Neurospora crassa OR74A: one gene and its partners. The protein of the gene in region 4 purifies or fractionates together with the protein of the main gene of each other region. This does not show direct contact. Links are inferred from orthologs where the notes say so. Each region holds a gene or a part of one and is shown on either strand. Other genes may lie near its edges. The genes, in order: fes-1, NCU16028, cyt-26 and cox-6.

Region 1 (4,319 bases), on a different chromosome or scaffold from region 4:
ACTTCTCGCTTTCGGTGGCATCGGCATGCCTCGATCTCGGTCGCCGTCAATGACCGTGGCGCCTGCCATAATTTATGTTCGAGAACAACTTTGTCCAGTCGTGGTGGGTGAATCGTGGCCGCCATGGTGCCTCGGGTAGTCGGCAAGTCAGATCAGACGAACGATGGAACTTCGCTTGTTACATGACCCTAGGAGCAGCCCCTTTGAGCCGCAAGGGTGAGGGGTTTCGAGAATTTGGTGAAGAAGTGAGAAAGCTGTGTCAAGACGCGCCCGGGAAGGCGAAGTTCAAAAGATGAGGTTGTTTTGTTTGTGGGGGAAAAAGACTCAGAGCAAGGGGGAGCGCATGGGGGTACAACCTAGCCCCTGCAATGAGACTGCAACCCACCCGGCCAGCATTGGCAAGGGGCTATGGTTGGAGGTAGTGCACTAACTATGTGTCGGCTTGAGTAGCGCACAAGATGTTAAGGCGGGCTTCAGATATAATTACGTTCGGAGAATTCCTCAGACGTCAATGAAACAACCAGGGTAAGCTACCGGTTCGCGGGCGTTTCCTTAACTCAGCTACCAGAGTAGCACGGGCGGGTATACCGACTGGGCTTGATTCGCAAGGTTGGCCAAGCTAAGATTAAGTTGTCAACATCTGTAATTCTGGTCGAGCTGCTCTCCAGCAATTCGACATGTAGCCTGTCTGTCCCACACCCGCATAAAAGGCCATTTGTATTTACCAATGCCGTGTTGGATGATCAGATGCGTTAGCATTGGGAGGTTCATCAGCTGACCTATGGTTTCCTCACAAAGCTCTTAGCCACAGCCGACTGCCATGGGTCGAGGAAGACCTTCTCACGGTACCATGCTCCAGTGAGCCTCTCATACAATAGGATTTTCTACAAAGCCAGTCTATAGGAAAACGCAAGGGTACAACACTCAGCAGCAACCTAGCGCCAAGCTCAGCACCAATAATAGGTATGTAGGGTTGCGTAGGTGAAGAACGCAGTTCTGAGTATATAGAAGTTTCCGACTCTCGAGCGCATATGATCGACCGTGACACCTGATTTGCTGTTGTGTATGCGTATGTGTGTCTTCTGTCTATAGGATAGTCGTACGAAACCGCGTCAAGAACCACGGAAAACAAAAATCCCGTTTTATGGTCTATGACATGCTTCCACTCAAGCCCTTTGTCGCAATACCCCCGTACTAATACAATTCTCCCTGTCATCGTCTCTCGGGCAGCAAGGGAAAAAAAAAGTGGACAAGGGAATATCGAGAGGATTCCCTAGTAGGTTTGGTTAAAAATTGTGTCTTGTTTGTTCAATCGGAAAGTTTTGTCTTTTTGCTCGCTTAACCAATGACAAGCTTGCCCTCCTCAGGGAACTCGTAGAGAGGGATCTCGAGGTTCAGAGGGGCAGGTCCTTTCCTGATACGGCCAGAGATATCGTAGTGAGAACCGTGGCAAGGGCAGAACCAGCCACCGTAGTCACCGGCCTCGCCGATGGGAACGCAACCCAAGTGGGTGCAGACGCCTGTTTTGTTCACACACCAAATGTCAGTCTCCCCACATCGTCGTGTATCCAGGATCTGAGCATCCAAAAATGCTATCCTTCGTCTTGTTCGGATCGCAAAGAGGGACATGGAGGGGCGTACCAAGCATGACGAGCCACTCGGGCTTCTTGACACGGTCGGCGTCGGTCTCGGGGTCACGGAGGGTGGCAACGTTGACCTTGTTGGCCTCTTCGATCTCCGCAGGGGTACGGTGACGGATGAAGACGGGCTTGCCACGCCACTTGATGATGACCTGTAAAAGTAGGAAAAGACCGGGGTCAGCATTCCATCATGGTTTGATCGTCGTCGGGAATCGATGTGCCCAGCTCAGCTCAGCCCAAGCCTTTGCTAATCCGGTTTCGTAGGGATCCTTACGTTCTTGCCCTCGGGGATGGCGTTGAGGTCAACCTCAACCTTGGCCATGGCCAAGACATCAGCGGAAGCCGACATGTTCTTGAGGAACTCTGTATAACACGGTCGCCTCGTCAGCTGTCTTTAGTTCTTGGGTGTTCGTGGGTGCATGTGCAAGATGGCATTTTCCCCATGTATCCATGCTTCAACATCGCCCCAAGGTCCAACCATATCCGCCCCGATATCGAAAGTTGTCATAGTGGTCGCAAATTGGTGATCGATGAGACGGAACCGTAGATAGCTCGCCCCACCATAACAGAACCCCCTTGTCGAATCCCATTGACCCGAACCCATCTGTCCTATGCCACCTCTTTGTTTTCCCCAACCTCGAGGAATGTGTGAAGCTTCCTCCTCAAATCCCATCAAGTCAAGACTCACCCTGGATGGTGGACTTGGCGCCGGCGGCGGTGATGGCGCCCATGGTGCCGACCATGAAGTAGGAGAAGAGCATGTTGGTGCTGGGGGGCGCCTTGCTCATGTATTTGCCGAAGTCGGGGACCTTGGCGGCCTTGCTCTCGCCCTTGAAGGGGCTCTCGAAGGTGGAGGACGAGGAACCCTGGAGGGCAGTCGAGGTGGTGAGAGCGCGAACGGCCCGGGCGGGGGCGGCAGCGGCGCGCATGGCGGCGCGGGAAACGATCGAGACGGGCGCCATTGTGTCGGTAGAATTACTCGCGTGGACAGAGGTCGGAGCGGAGAGAGGGGGTTGCGAGAGCGGGGAGATCGAGCGAGGTTCTGCTCTTTCGGAGTCGCGGGAGGACGGTGGACGTGGGCGGTGTTCCGGAGACGGAATTGACGGCTGCGTAATGCGGTCGAGACGACGAGGCCAAAATCACGGACTGAGGTTTTTCTGGGCCGAGCTTGGTTCCCACCTTTCCCGGCATGGGAAACCGCCATAGCTACTGGCTTGTGGCCTGAGGCACTAACCAACCACAGCGTCCGCCCAGCAGCTAGAGAGCTACTTAATGCGCCGGCCCTGATTGGCTGTGACTGCCTGTTCGTCCACTCTCCGGTTTCTTCCGTCGCCTGGTTCGTCCTGTTGGTGGTGGTGATGGTGGTGGTGGGGCTCACCTCAGCGCGTCACCGCAGCGCCCGGACAACTTGAACTGTCAGCGACTCGGCGAGCCAAGGGTGCCAAGACAGTGATGTCAATTGATCTATTGATCATACATAATTCATTCGTTCATCTGAGGCTATTCACAGACTCATCTTCTCTCACCCTATGCAGCCATGTTTTGAGCACAGCACTTATTGACAACACTTGCAACTGCCAAAATCTTCAGCAGCCAAAGCGATGACTTGTAGACATCCAATCATGCACGTTAAGTGTCTAACCGTTGGCTCAGTGCATCCTCCGTAGCTCCTCTACCATATTGCGCATCTGCTCAACGCTCGGCCCAAGACCTTCGCAGATCTCCTTCTGCGTCTTCTCATCCACATCCAAAAACCTCTCCAGCAACTCCCCATCCAGGAACCTGACCGGCCCAGTCGTTCCATCTGCCTCGGGCCCCCTTTCCGCATTGCGGAATGCCCTGTAGGAGTTGAAATCGAGTTCGCCAACTGTCTTGATCACCGCCGCCAGTTTATCCTGGAACCGAAGTAAGAGGTCTTGTTCGCGCGCAATCGTACCAAACATGTAAATACCGCCTTCCGCCTGTTTTATCAAGTCAATTGTTAGCCTTGACCTTGTGACATGATCAATCTGAGAAACAGGCAACTTACCGTGGCCAAGAACGCTCGAGGAATGATGATGGCGTTCGGGCTAGTCTCGACCTTGATCGGGCGTATTTTGTTCACCTGTTCTCCCAGGTTGAGCTCGCTTGTTATCCTCAGTTGCCGCTGGTCCTCCACTGTCACGCCCTCAGCATTGCGTTGAAGCACGATCAGATTGCCATTGGCATCAGCTTCAAGCCAAGACTCGCCCTCAACGTGAGCCACGGCCGTTGCCCACGCAGAATGCCTGTGTCTCGCGCACTCTACCAACTTGGGGGCTTCGGACTTCTCCCCTCCGGTTTTGGCCGGGACGTACTCGACCAGTGTAGCCGACTTCATCATATCAGCAACAGCAATCATGTTGCCATGCACCGCGATGTCGACCGGATAAGTTGTGCACCGATAAGACGCGAGCTTGACGAGATGGGCCTCAGTGCTTGACGTTTCCTCGTACTGGCTGATAACCACTGTCTTGTGGAGTGCAGCCACGATTTTGCTGCCCATGACCGCCAGAGCGCGACAGCCGCCTTTCAGCTCGTGCTTGAGGACCAAGTACGGATCCCGGTTGCTGTCGATCCCGAACACCAAGATCCTACCGCGCTTGTCCGTACCAGCGCCACGGTCAGGATCCTCCAGGAAGCTTGTACCGACGATAAACC
Region 2 (2,773 bases), on a different chromosome or scaffold from region 4:
TAGGCTACGCCAGACTTCAGGAACTTGCTTGTTATTTTAACCCTTCCCCGCCCTGCAGTACTGCAGGGGGGGGGGCGGGTAGCCTTTTAAACCTAATTAACCTATAAAAATAATAATAATTAAAAGCACCCCCCTTAAGGGGGGGGTGCTTTCCAGTTAATGGGCCCCCCGCCCCCGAAGGGGGCGGGGTCCCCCGAATATTGTTTATAATATAACCCACCACCTCCCGGATGTTCCACTCCACTCGCTCCCCCCCGCAAACCTGCGGGGGGGGGAGCGAGTGGAGTTAATTCCGTTCCACTCCACTCCCCCCCTTAAGGGGGGGGGGAGTGGAGTTAATTCCATAAGTCATCCTCTTCATATTAGAAACTTTTTATCGCTACCCCCTCGCTCCCCCCCCGCAAACCTGCGGGGAGGGGGGGAGAGATAACCACTAGATGGCTTCATACTCAAATACATAGGGCCCCACGAATACCCCACACACCTTCGTGTGTGGGCCGTATTCGTGGGGTCCCCCGAGTTCCTTTATTTAGCCAAAAACTATTTTATCGTCTTACTGTTCTTCTAATCAAGTAAGGAATTTTTCTAGAGATACTGACTCTATAACTATAGGCATAGAACTGTGTAATATACCACAGATTTCAGAGCATTGACCATAGAATACTCCTTCTCTGTTAATAAAAACAGATACTTGATTTAATCTCCCAGGATAAGCATCACATTTAACACCTAAAGATGGAACAGCGAAGCTATGTATCACATCACCTGCAGTGATGATAAATCTAACGTGTGTTAGTTCAGGAAGGATAACTCTATTATCCACCTCTAACATTCTTAGTGCTCCTTCTTCCAAATCGGATTCCGGTACTATATATGAATCAAATTCTATAAATTCATCATTTGAATCTAAGAAATCAGGATATTGGTAACTTCAATATCATTGGTGCCCCTCTGCTAAAACTGACATTGAAGGATCACTAACTTCATCCATTAAATATAGCAACTTAAATGAAGGGAAAGCAATTAATATTAATATTACTGCTGGAGTAATAGTTCATATTAATTCGATTAATGTACCGTGATTTAAATATTTATGTGAAATTGGTGATTTTGTACTGATATAATTTCTTATTATAGATAATAAGATTCATCCTACACCAAATAGTATTACCACCAGATAGTACATAATATTGTCATGTAATTCAACTAAACCTTCCATCTGAGGAGTAGCACTATCTTGAAAATAGATACCTCATGGGCTTGGAGCATCAAAATTCATAATTAAATTATTAAATAATAATCCCATAAAAAAAGAAATAGAATATTCTATATTGAATATTAAACCATAATAATAAATATATTATATCTTTTCATAAAATATAGAATTTAAATATAACATTAAACTGTATTGTATATTAAGGCTAGGCTAATTCTTATCCACTAACGAAGTATACCCTGTGCCTAATGGGTTTTTATAGCCTGCTGCTCATAAGGTTAGGCTACGCTAGCGTCCTTTGTTTTTTCGGGGGACCCCGCCCCCTTCGGGGCGGGGGCCCAAAAAAATGAATTACCTTCGCTCAGCTTCGCACACTTCGCTCACTTCGCTCAGCTTCGCTCAGCTTCGCTCAGCTTCCCTCCCAAAAAAGTACCACCCTCCTCCACTCGCGTACCCCCTCCTTTGCTCAAGGTCCCCATCACATTTAATTATGCCCCCCTGCAGTATTGCAGGGCGGGGGAAAGATGGGGGCCGCCAAGGGGGGGGTTGAGTGGAGGAGGGTGGTCGCGATATTATGGCTAGCTAAATTATTAAGGCTGCTTCCTGCCTGCCTAGACTTCGTAGGCAGGAAGTAGGAGGGGGCCCCCCACGAATACCCCACACACCTTCGTGTGTGGGCCGTATTCGTGGGGTCCCTCGAAGCTAGCTAGCTAGCTAAGCAGGAAGAGCAGCCATATTTTTTATTTAAGCAGCCATACATCATTTTATTCCTAATCTCTATCATTACTATGCAACATAAAGAAGTAAAAAAGCCATCATCAAAGCAAATAATCCTGTCGCTTCCGAGAAAGCAAAACCTAAAATTGCATATGCAAATAATTGACTTTTTAACGAAGGGTTTCTTGAAACCCCTATTATTAATGAGCCAAATACAACTCCAATACCTATACCAGCTCCGATTAAACCTGTGGTAGCTAGCCCTGTTCCTATTATTTTAGCTACTTGTATCATTATATATACAATGGTGGAATCAAAAATTAACTAGAATCTAGTAACCTCTTCAATTCCACCACCGCAAAGCAGCAAATACCACTGAGGCTCCCGACAACAGTGTATTTACTGCTGTTGCAGTATATCTAATGATAATCAAGTAGCCATTAGGCTATCCCTAATGGCTACAATAATCATACGATAGCTAGCCAGTATATAACTGGCTAGCTATCGTAATCTTTAGTACATTACATATAAAGATTACATTACAATACATTACATTACATTACATGTAATGTAACATTACATTACAGTTACATTACTGTACATTATATTACATTACAGTTACATTATATTAAGTTACATTACAGTTACATTACAAAATATTACATTACAGTTACATAACATTAAGTTACATTAAGTTACATTACATTACATTAAGTTAAGTTACATTAAGTTACATTTTATATTATCTATCAGATGATTACATTTGCAGTACATAGTGGATATAACATTACATTACATTACATTACATCATTACATAGCATAATGTATCATCCATCATTC
Region 3 (4,235 bases), on a different chromosome or scaffold from region 4:
CTTCCGTGCTCTTCCCCAAGAGACTCCCAGCACAAGTATCCCCGTCAAACAAACACCCTTCCTTCCTCCCCGCCATGATCATCCCCAGAAACGGCAACAAACACAGCTCAGGATCACCCATCACGCGATTTTGACCATGATCTTGTTCTCGCTCCAGCCGCAGAACCCGATAAGCTTGATCCCTCAAGGAATGGGCACAATCCATCATCATTTCCCATTCTTCCATTCCACGCATGAGACTCGGTTCCCAAAGTTTGCGGACTTCAACTGGTGGGGCGAAACCCGAGGTAAGCAGCGAGGCGAGGTAGTCTCGGTCTTGAGAGGAAGAGGAGAAGTCGACGTTGAAGTCATTGAGGATGTCATTGGCGAGGTCTGGTGACATGACATCGTTATATGGGAGGCGAGAGGCCTGTGATTGGGGTGGTGATAGTTTTGATGATGACATTTTGCTGGTTGTCAGTGGATGGAGAGTTTTGGATTTACATATGTGGTGTCCAGCAATCGTAGAATCAAAATGTGATTGAAAACTTCACGATGAGTTTGGGGTCAAGATGTTGTTGCTTGTCAGTGAGTGAATCGAAAAGGGAGGGGAGGGGGCCAAGACTTTGTTTGGAAGGCAAATCAAATGCCAAGCCAGGGGCATCCTCTGTGGCACTTCGTGCTGACATTTACCGTGATTCGGTGAAAGAGAGATTGCCAATCGAGAAATGTCAAGGCTTTCGAAGCTCATACTATATCTCAACTACTCTCGAAGTTAAAGGCGTACATGATGATGTAGCTGACAGGGAAATGGCCTTTACTCTTTGGCATCCGTTCAAATGCCCATGTCGTAATATCCGTATCCTGATCCACTCACATGCAAGTTCAGCTTGACCGTCATACCCATACCATCATACCCTGTCAGACACAGGCAATAACGTCTATGTTGTATTTGAGACCAGAAAATTTGATTTATACACTCTACGACCATCTTCATGTTCAACCCACACGCCCGCACATCTCCGCATTGCCCAGAGTTACCGATCCCGCCCCTGCCCATTCCTTTTCGTTTTGCTCTTTCTGACCGATGCGCAAGAGGAACATGGGGGAGCAAAATTTGGGCAGCAATAGTATATGATACATACACAGAAAAAGACAAGGAAAATCACGCACGTCTCACAACGGTTATTGTGTGAATGTCATGACTTTGCCCTTTGTTGTGGCAATGCTAAATTAGTGGCGGGTGGTGGACTCCTTGGGGGGATCGTAGACGATCTTCCTCGACTTGAGCCAAGCCCACTTGTAACGCTTAACATAGACGCTCAAGGCGAAGAGCACAGAGGTGACAACCAGAACCTTCATACCCATGCGCTTGCGGTCGTCCATCTCGGGCTCAGCAGCCCAGTTGAGGAACTCAACAACATCCTTGGCCATCTGGGAGGTGGAGGCGGGGGTGCCATCCTCGTAGTCGACGAGGCCGTCGTAGAGGACACGGGCCATGGCGATACCGGTACCGGGGAAGTAGGGGTTGAAGTTAAGGCCGGCGCCAACGGAAGCGCCAGCGGGAGGCTCATCGGGATAGCCGGTAAGGAGGGAGAAGATGTAGTCGCAGCCACCGTGGCGGGCCTTGACGATCAAGCTGAGATCGGGAGGAAGGGCACCGTTGTTGGCGAAACGGGCGGCCTCATCGTTCTTGTAGGGATCGGGGAGGTAGTCGGAAAGCTTGCCGGGGCGCTTCTCGATCTCGCCCTGGTCGTTGGGCTCGGTGTCGTACTCGTTCTCTTCGGCAAGAGCCTTGGCCTCATCGACGGTCAAGATGGTGCCGACAAGAGCGCGGTAGGGGACTCTGCTGAGAGAGTGGCACGAGGCGCAGACCTCACGGTACACCTGGAAACCTCTGCGAAGACTGCAGTCGGGCAAAAACAAAGTCGTGAGCCAGATAGTCATTTTGGATTGGAGGCGCGGCCTCGAATGGGCTGGATAGGAGTGGTTGCTTACGCTTGGTGATCAAAGGTCTTGAGCCACTGTTCGTGGACCCAGGGGTACTTGGTAGCATGGAGACTGCGTCAACGGTAAGCTTCGAGTCACTCCATGCCCAGATTCATGCCTATAGTCGAGCTCGGTCGTATATGCCTCAGAACCCATGAGGCAGACCTCGGTCCAGCGGCTAGAGCGGGGCGGATGGTCGGATCGATCGTAGGGGACTCACCCTTCCTCAGCCGGAGTCATGGCGGAAGCGAATCCATAGAGATGGTAGTACCAGGCGATCGAGCCGGCGGCGACGGCGGTGGCAGCGGCGGCAGCAATGTTCAGGCGGAGGGGAGACTCGGCAGCGGCGCCGGAGCTCTGGGTGGAAGCCGAACGCTGCCGGGCACGTCCGTTAGCTTTCCTCGAGGAGCGCGAGAGTGTGAAGGAGACAAGACAGGATGGCTCGGCCGGGGCGGGGATGGTCGGGCAACTGGGCCCCGGACCGGGAGCTCGCAGTAGGTTGACGGTAGCTCAAGCCGGCCCAGACCCAGCCATTCGAGTGGCGATGCGGCCGAGATCTGTTGTTTGGAGGGGCAGAGAGACGAGGACGAAAGAGTTGTCGAAGCAATCGAGACGAACCTTGGCAAATTTGAAGGCGCCATTTTTCGCGCTGGCAAAGGTGCGCGTCGAGCGCAGGCAGGTCCTCGCCAGCATGGTGGGCAAGCTGAGCGAAGCTTTAGGAAAGTATCGCGGGTTCGGGGGACAAGGCCAATTGGGTTGGCAATGTCGGTGACAGTATCAGGTCTGGCGGGCGGGAGGTCGAGCAGGTCCGTCCAGGTGCAAGGTCGGTCGATTCCCTTCACGTAGCGTCGTAGGTAGGACCGTAGGTTTCTTGAATTTCGGGAATCTTAGGAACACTCGCCATCTGATTGGCTGGGCCAATCACCGTGCAGCCTTTCGAGCTTTTACACTTCCCCTCGGCCCCGGCCGATGGATTTTCCGCACTAATTTACCTCATTCTGCCCGCGGGCCTCAGCGCTTTTTGAGACTACCTTGCTCAGTAAGGTAGACACCTCAGCGAGCCCAATCCCGACCTGCAAGTGGAAGTTTCACAAGCGACTAATCCAACTGGGCACAGCTGGGAGCTGGGCATCAGGATCAGGATCAGCATCAGTATCAGCATCAGCATCAGCCAGCATCGCCCCATGGAAATCATAAATGTCCAAGCTCTCGCTGCCCGCGGTCCGCCCCTTCTGTCTTTTCAGCTCACACGGCGACCCAGCGTGACCGGACCTAGCCGAGGAAAAGCTGCCAAGGAAAGCCAGGTTTGAAGCTATACACCACACATACATACCTATGCCGTGGCCCCGTAATCGCAGGTGAAGCTCAGATTTGGTCACCACGGCTATCACGCTTCACACCAACACATCACCACAATTGCATCCCCAAAAAAAAAGGCAACGCAAAACTGTAGTCGAACATGGACGATCCTAGAGATTATCATCGAAAGAAATCCAAGGTAATTGTTTCGTTTTGAGATCCAGACCCGCTCCATCTTTTACCATCTTCTATTGTCTCGACGGCCATTTCCCAAGATGCATTAATACACGCTCTTTATCAAAACACACCACATGCAGAAATGTCAGCTTTTGTGTTCCCATCCCCGCGCCAGCATATATTCGGCATCCCTCACTTAGGGTTCGTGAACCCCTATCAAATGACCCATAAACCATAAAGCAAACAAGACCAGGAATTGGCATGACTTAGGCAGCGGCGTTCTTGCTCAGGACTTCTCTCCTCTTTTTGACGGCCTGCGCAAGCGTGTCGAGAGTGGCGACAGTGTCCTCCCAGCCAATACAAGCATCAGTGATACTGACACCGTACTTGAGGCCGCACTTGCCTTCCTCGGGCACCTTCTGGTTACCTGTACGTTGTGTTAGCGAACAGCTTCAAATTTAGACGGTCATATGCCCCCAATAAAAAAAATAAACAAAATAAAAAGACTTGCCCTCGTTGATGTTGCTCTCAATCATGACGCCCATGATACCAGTTTCGCCGTTCTCAAGTTGTTGCGCAATTTCGGCAGCGACCTTGGGCTGGTTCTTGTGGTTCTTATTCGAGTTGCCGTGGCTGCAGTCAATCATCAGGCGCTGGCGCAAGCCGCTCTTCTCCAGCGCAGCCTTGGCCTCAGCGATGCTCTTCGCATCGTAGTTGGTGCCCTTGGTACCGCCACGGAGGATGACGAAGCAGTCCTCGTTGCCAACAGTTCCGACGATGGCAACGACACC
Region 4 (3,741 bases):
GGGGCACCTCCGTGATTAGGGCAAGACGAATAGGAGTTAGAACCGAACCTGGGGGTCGGAGAGCGAGATCGTTGGGTGCTTGAGAGAAGGAAAGAATGGCTCGGCTGTCGGTCGATGACTGCAGCTGTTTTCCTGGTTCGTGACCAAGGACCGAGACAAAGACAACGATTAAGATGGCTTCAGGTCAGCTTTCCTTATGTCCCTGTCAACGGTGGAATGGTTGGTGAAACGATTGTTTGCTTATTGCTTGTTACCTATTGGTCTTTTTCTTCTTCTTCTTTCTCTCCAGCCGGTAGGAATATCTTTTCACAATACCCATCTCCCTATCTTACATCTTACGGTTCATTAGATCGATTGTTTTCATTTTCTTTTGTATGGTTCAAGGTACTCAGGTTGCATTTGAGGATCGAGGGATGCACATGAAAGAGGTTGAGGCACTCGGCGCATTGGGGTTACCTTTTTCTAGATACTTACTCTACCTGCTATGGATAAAGGCAATAGAATCCAGGTAGAACCAGGCATGACAATCGTGAATCTGGTCAATCTCTTATGACGAATGGTAACCAGCATCCAGCTTTTGTAAAATCTATGGTAAACTCATTACTGCCTTTCGAATACATCTATTTTGCTGCTCTCTACGATCATGGCATGGGATATTCATCGTCCAAACACAATCCGTGACACAACCAACTGTTATCGTATCCAACTCGACAAACAGGTTGAACTCGTTCGATTCCTCTCTCTAAGGCCCTCTTGGATATACTACGCCCTTACTTCCTGCAATAGGAGTTCTCTAGGCAAAGAAACATGTATGGTACCAGGGAATTAGCGTTGAGTGCGCTCTCCTATTCATAGGTTCCAAGCACACACGCTACGCTTTCCCCTTCCACAAACTCCCCCTCCTCTCGCCACAATACTCTCATATCCCCTCTTTTCAAACTTCCAAAGATTCTGGGAGAATAATTGATGGGTCGTTGGAATGGTGATTCTCATGGCATCTTCTAAGTTACGTTGGTCCTAAATTTAGTTGGCCTCCTCGGGGTAGAGGTCCTCCTTGAGGGTGATGCCGAGCTCCTCACGAAGAGGCTTGAGCTCAGCGAGGTACTGCTCGTACTGGCCCTTGTTCTCAACCTTGGCCTTGATGCCTGTTATGACGGAAGCCCGTTGTCAGCATGGTTCTGGTTCCTAAAAGACCGTTTTGCTGTTCCCTATCCACCCGAGCTTATCGGACACCTTGGTATTGACGCATAGGCTGGTCGTCGATGGCTACGATGTGTGCGGGTTTCGGTGGCGGCAGTGATGGATGTTAGGACGGGGGCTCTTACCCTCGAAGACGCGGACAGCGGTGGGGAAGTCGTTGACGCGGCGGGCAGCCTTGAGAGCGGCGGCGAGAACGGAGGGGGAAGGGACGAGATCGTAAGCGAAAGCGTTGTTCAGGTTGCGCTAATTTCGGTATGCCAGCGTCAGTCTCACAGTCTCTTCCTTCCCTTGCCCCTACCCAACAAGTTGAATCATTGTTGTCCCTTGATCGATAATGCAAAAGGTGCGTCGTCGAGTAGGCCGTGAGAGTCGAAGTGGGACGGGAGCATGGAAGGTGGTGCATACCTGAAGCTCGAAAACATCCTGAACGGCATCAAACTCCTTCTCGTAGCTGTTGGAAAAGGCGCAAGTTAGGAATTGGGGAGTTCTCGAGGGCGCATGGAGGTGTTGATGGGGTGGCCCTGGCTGAGGCTGAGGGGAGGAGAGTCGGAGGCATCACGTCATAGTGAAGCCGAGCTAGGATAGGCAGGTAGCTAGCTCGGGCCTGGGACCTCCGGGGCTCGGAGAGGTAGCAGCTTCCCGGCCGGGCTGCCGGGGCAAAACTCACCGGGCAGTGAACTCCTCGAAGGTCTCCTCGTGGTGCTCGGAGCGGAAGCGGCTGGAGGTGCTGAAAAGGCTGACGCGGGCGGCGATGGGCTGGGGGCGGGCAACGGCGCGGAAGAGGCCGGCGGAGGGACCGCGGACGGCAGTGCGGAAGAAGGAGGCCATTGTGACGGAAGGACGGAGGGGGCTACTAGAAGATGAGAATTGAGAGCACACGGTAAGAAGCTGGAACTGCGAAGCGAGAAGACCGGGGGGGAAGAAAAGGCAAGGCGGTAATTGGCGGCGGAGACGGAGAAGCACGCACGTTACGTAGAGGGAGGTACGGTAGCTGAGATGATGGTCTCAATTAATGCTAACGAGGTTGAGGTTCGATGGTGTGCGACGTAAATGCTTGTTCAACCCAAGTGGAAGTCTCCGGTATTGCACTGCATCGGACCATTCGAATACTTCGGCTATGTCTTTTCCGGTTAGCTGACTAGCTGTGTTTTTTCCGCCCTCGAGGTACTTCTGGACAAGCCACTCGGTGGTCAGTGCACAAGCTCCCTAAGCTCACCTTTCCAATTCGTACATGAGCTTGGTATGCAATTGAACAGACAACAGCCCACTTTTCCGCACCAGTAGTGGCTGAAGTGGCTGAAACATTTCTTTAACTTCATAATGAGGCTGATGTCGAAGCAACAGAACGTGGGGTACCTATAACGCCTTCCTGCAGCGAGCCGGATAAATCGACTGTGTGCTCAGATGAATCCGCTGTGTGGAGCCCATACAAACTGACAGCCAAGACCCAAAGCTTGGCATCTCTCGCGCCAAACTTTCGCGATCGCAAGTCATCACCAAAATATCATTGTCTCGACAACGACAACGAAAGCTCAAAACGACTTTTTCTAAAGCGTTGAACTCTCATTTATATGCGGGGGCCTCTCACCGGCCCCCTGCACCCCCGGAACTAACCCTAACACCTAACCCTAACCACTAACCCTAACACTAACCTTGGGGGTAGCCCGCGAATTGCTATACAGTCGATTTATCCATCCAACACAGTCGATTTATCCGATCCGTCCTGCAGCGATGATGCAACCAGTGCGTGTTGCTCATGTCGGTCTTTCACACAATGAAGTGGTGTCTGTTGTTGCGGACATTCACTTCAACTCATCATCGTGTTGACCTTGATATCCCTCACTTTTTTTCTTAGACAATTCCCAGGATTGGGAACATTTGAACCGGCAAGCGCTGGAGATTTACGGATCAACCTATTTATCATCGGAAGAAATTGACTGCCAACCGAATGTTTTGACCGGCACATGGTCTCGTCATCTCAGGATTCACGGCTTGTACACTCGTGTATTTGTGGGTGGATGAATGATGGGCTGATCGAAAGCCAGTATGTAGTTCGGAGAGAGTAGAAAACGCGTCTTGTAGTATTGGTGGGTTGGGGTTGTTGAACAGGCGAGAGCCGCGAAACCTCAAAAAAATGGACTCGATTGAATCATTGAACAAACCGAATTTGTATACCCGCTGGTCAATGTCTTACCGTAGCACTGGGCCACCCCAGGTTGTGAGCTCAATCGCTGGAGGGCAAGCCATTCACCTTCTCTTATACGCACCGTTGGTTCGGGCTCGCCTGGGTGTTTGAACGTCCTCGTATCAATTTCCACGATATCTCTTCCTGATAACCAAGTTGTGAACGTCCTGCACTAGCTACTTCCCCAAACCTCGGCATGGACTCTACACTACTCGTTTGATCAAGAGTTAGCCCGTTGCGGCCCGACAGTTGACGCTCTGCATGATGAACGAGGTATCCGATGTAGGGGGTTGTAGCTATTTGGTGGACCTTGAACGGCCTAGAAGACTGCCCCCAAGTCTCGAGTCAATCATCGA

The links.
Region 1: the proteins of cox-6 (region 4) and fes-1 purify together in Saccharomyces cerevisiae (affinity purification with mass spectrometry; 4 studies listed by BioGRID, with this or other methods). This does not show direct contact. The link is inferred for Neurospora crassa OR74A from reciprocal best matches to the Saccharomyces cerevisiae genes COX6 and RIP1.
Region 2: the proteins of cox-6 (region 4) and NCU16028 purify together in Saccharomyces cerevisiae (affinity purification with western blotting; 5 studies listed by BioGRID, with this or other methods). This does not show direct contact. The link is inferred for Neurospora crassa OR74A from reciprocal best matches to the Saccharomyces cerevisiae genes COX6 and COX2.
Region 3: the proteins of cox-6 (region 4) and cyt-26 purify together in Saccharomyces cerevisiae (affinity purification with mass spectrometry; 3 studies listed by BioGRID, with this or other methods). This does not show direct contact. The link is inferred for Neurospora crassa OR74A from reciprocal best matches to the Saccharomyces cerevisiae genes COX6 and CYT1.

What each region holds. Positions count from the first base shown.
Region 1 is NC_026504.1:1,784,896-1,789,214, reverse strand, and holds fes-1 (ubiquinol-cytochrome c reductase iron-sulfur subunit), read right to left. Parts: upstream 2,810-4,319; 5' UTR 2,603-2,809; coding exon 2,329-2,602; intron 2,004-2,328; coding exon 1,915-2,003; intron 1,793-1,914; coding exon 1,642-1,792; intron 1,521-1,641; coding exon 1,339-1,520; 3' UTR 611-1,338; downstream 1-610. Other genes in the region: dim-8 (DNA damage-binding protein 1), read right to left, coding at 3,290-3,601, 3,670-4,319. UniProt on the Saccharomyces cerevisiae protein: Component of the ubiquinol-cytochrome c oxidoreductase, a multisubunit transmembrane complex that is part of the mitochondrial electron transport chain which drives oxidative phosphorylation.
Region 2 is NC_026614.1:58,062-60,834, reverse strand, and holds NCU16028 (cytochrome c oxidase subunit 2), read right to left. Parts: upstream 1,307-2,773; coding exon 554-1,306; downstream 1-553. Other genes in the region: NCU16027 (ATPase subunit 9), read right to left, coding at 2,003-2,227. UniProt on the Saccharomyces cerevisiae protein: Component of the cytochrome c oxidase, the last enzyme in the mitochondrial electron transport chain which drives oxidative phosphorylation.
Region 3 is NC_026501.1:4,144,668-4,148,902, forward strand, and holds cyt-26 (cytochrome-26), read right to left. Parts: upstream 2,896-4,235; 5' UTR 2,662-2,895; coding exon 2,587-2,661; intron 2,344-2,586; coding exon 2,189-2,343; intron 2,041-2,188; coding exon 1,978-2,040; intron 1,886-1,977; coding exon 1,213-1,885; 3' UTR 601-1,212; downstream 1-600. Other genes in the region: mbp3 (methylated-DNA-binding protein3), read right to left, coding at 1-445; aro-7 (DAHP synthase), read right to left, coding at 3,711-3,871, 3,956-4,235. UniProt on the Saccharomyces cerevisiae protein: Component of the ubiquinol-cytochrome c oxidoreductase, a multisubunit transmembrane complex that is part of the mitochondrial electron transport chain which drives oxidative phosphorylation.
Region 4 is NC_026505.1:4,304,116-4,307,856, reverse strand, and holds cox-6 (cytochrome c oxidase polypeptide VI, variant), read right to left. Parts: upstream 2,305-3,741; 5' UTR 2,168-2,304; exon of another isoform or gene 2,054-2,167; 5' UTR 2,029-2,053; coding exon 1,868-2,028; intron 1,652-1,867; coding exon 1,606-1,651; intron 1,444-1,605; coding exon 1,326-1,443; intron 1,146-1,325; coding exon 1,024-1,145; 3' UTR 580-1,023; downstream 1-579. Other genes in the region: NCU06696 (hypothetical protein), read left to right, coding at 1-19. UniProt on the Saccharomyces cerevisiae protein: Component of the cytochrome c oxidase, the last enzyme in the mitochondrial electron transport chain which drives oxidative phosphorylation.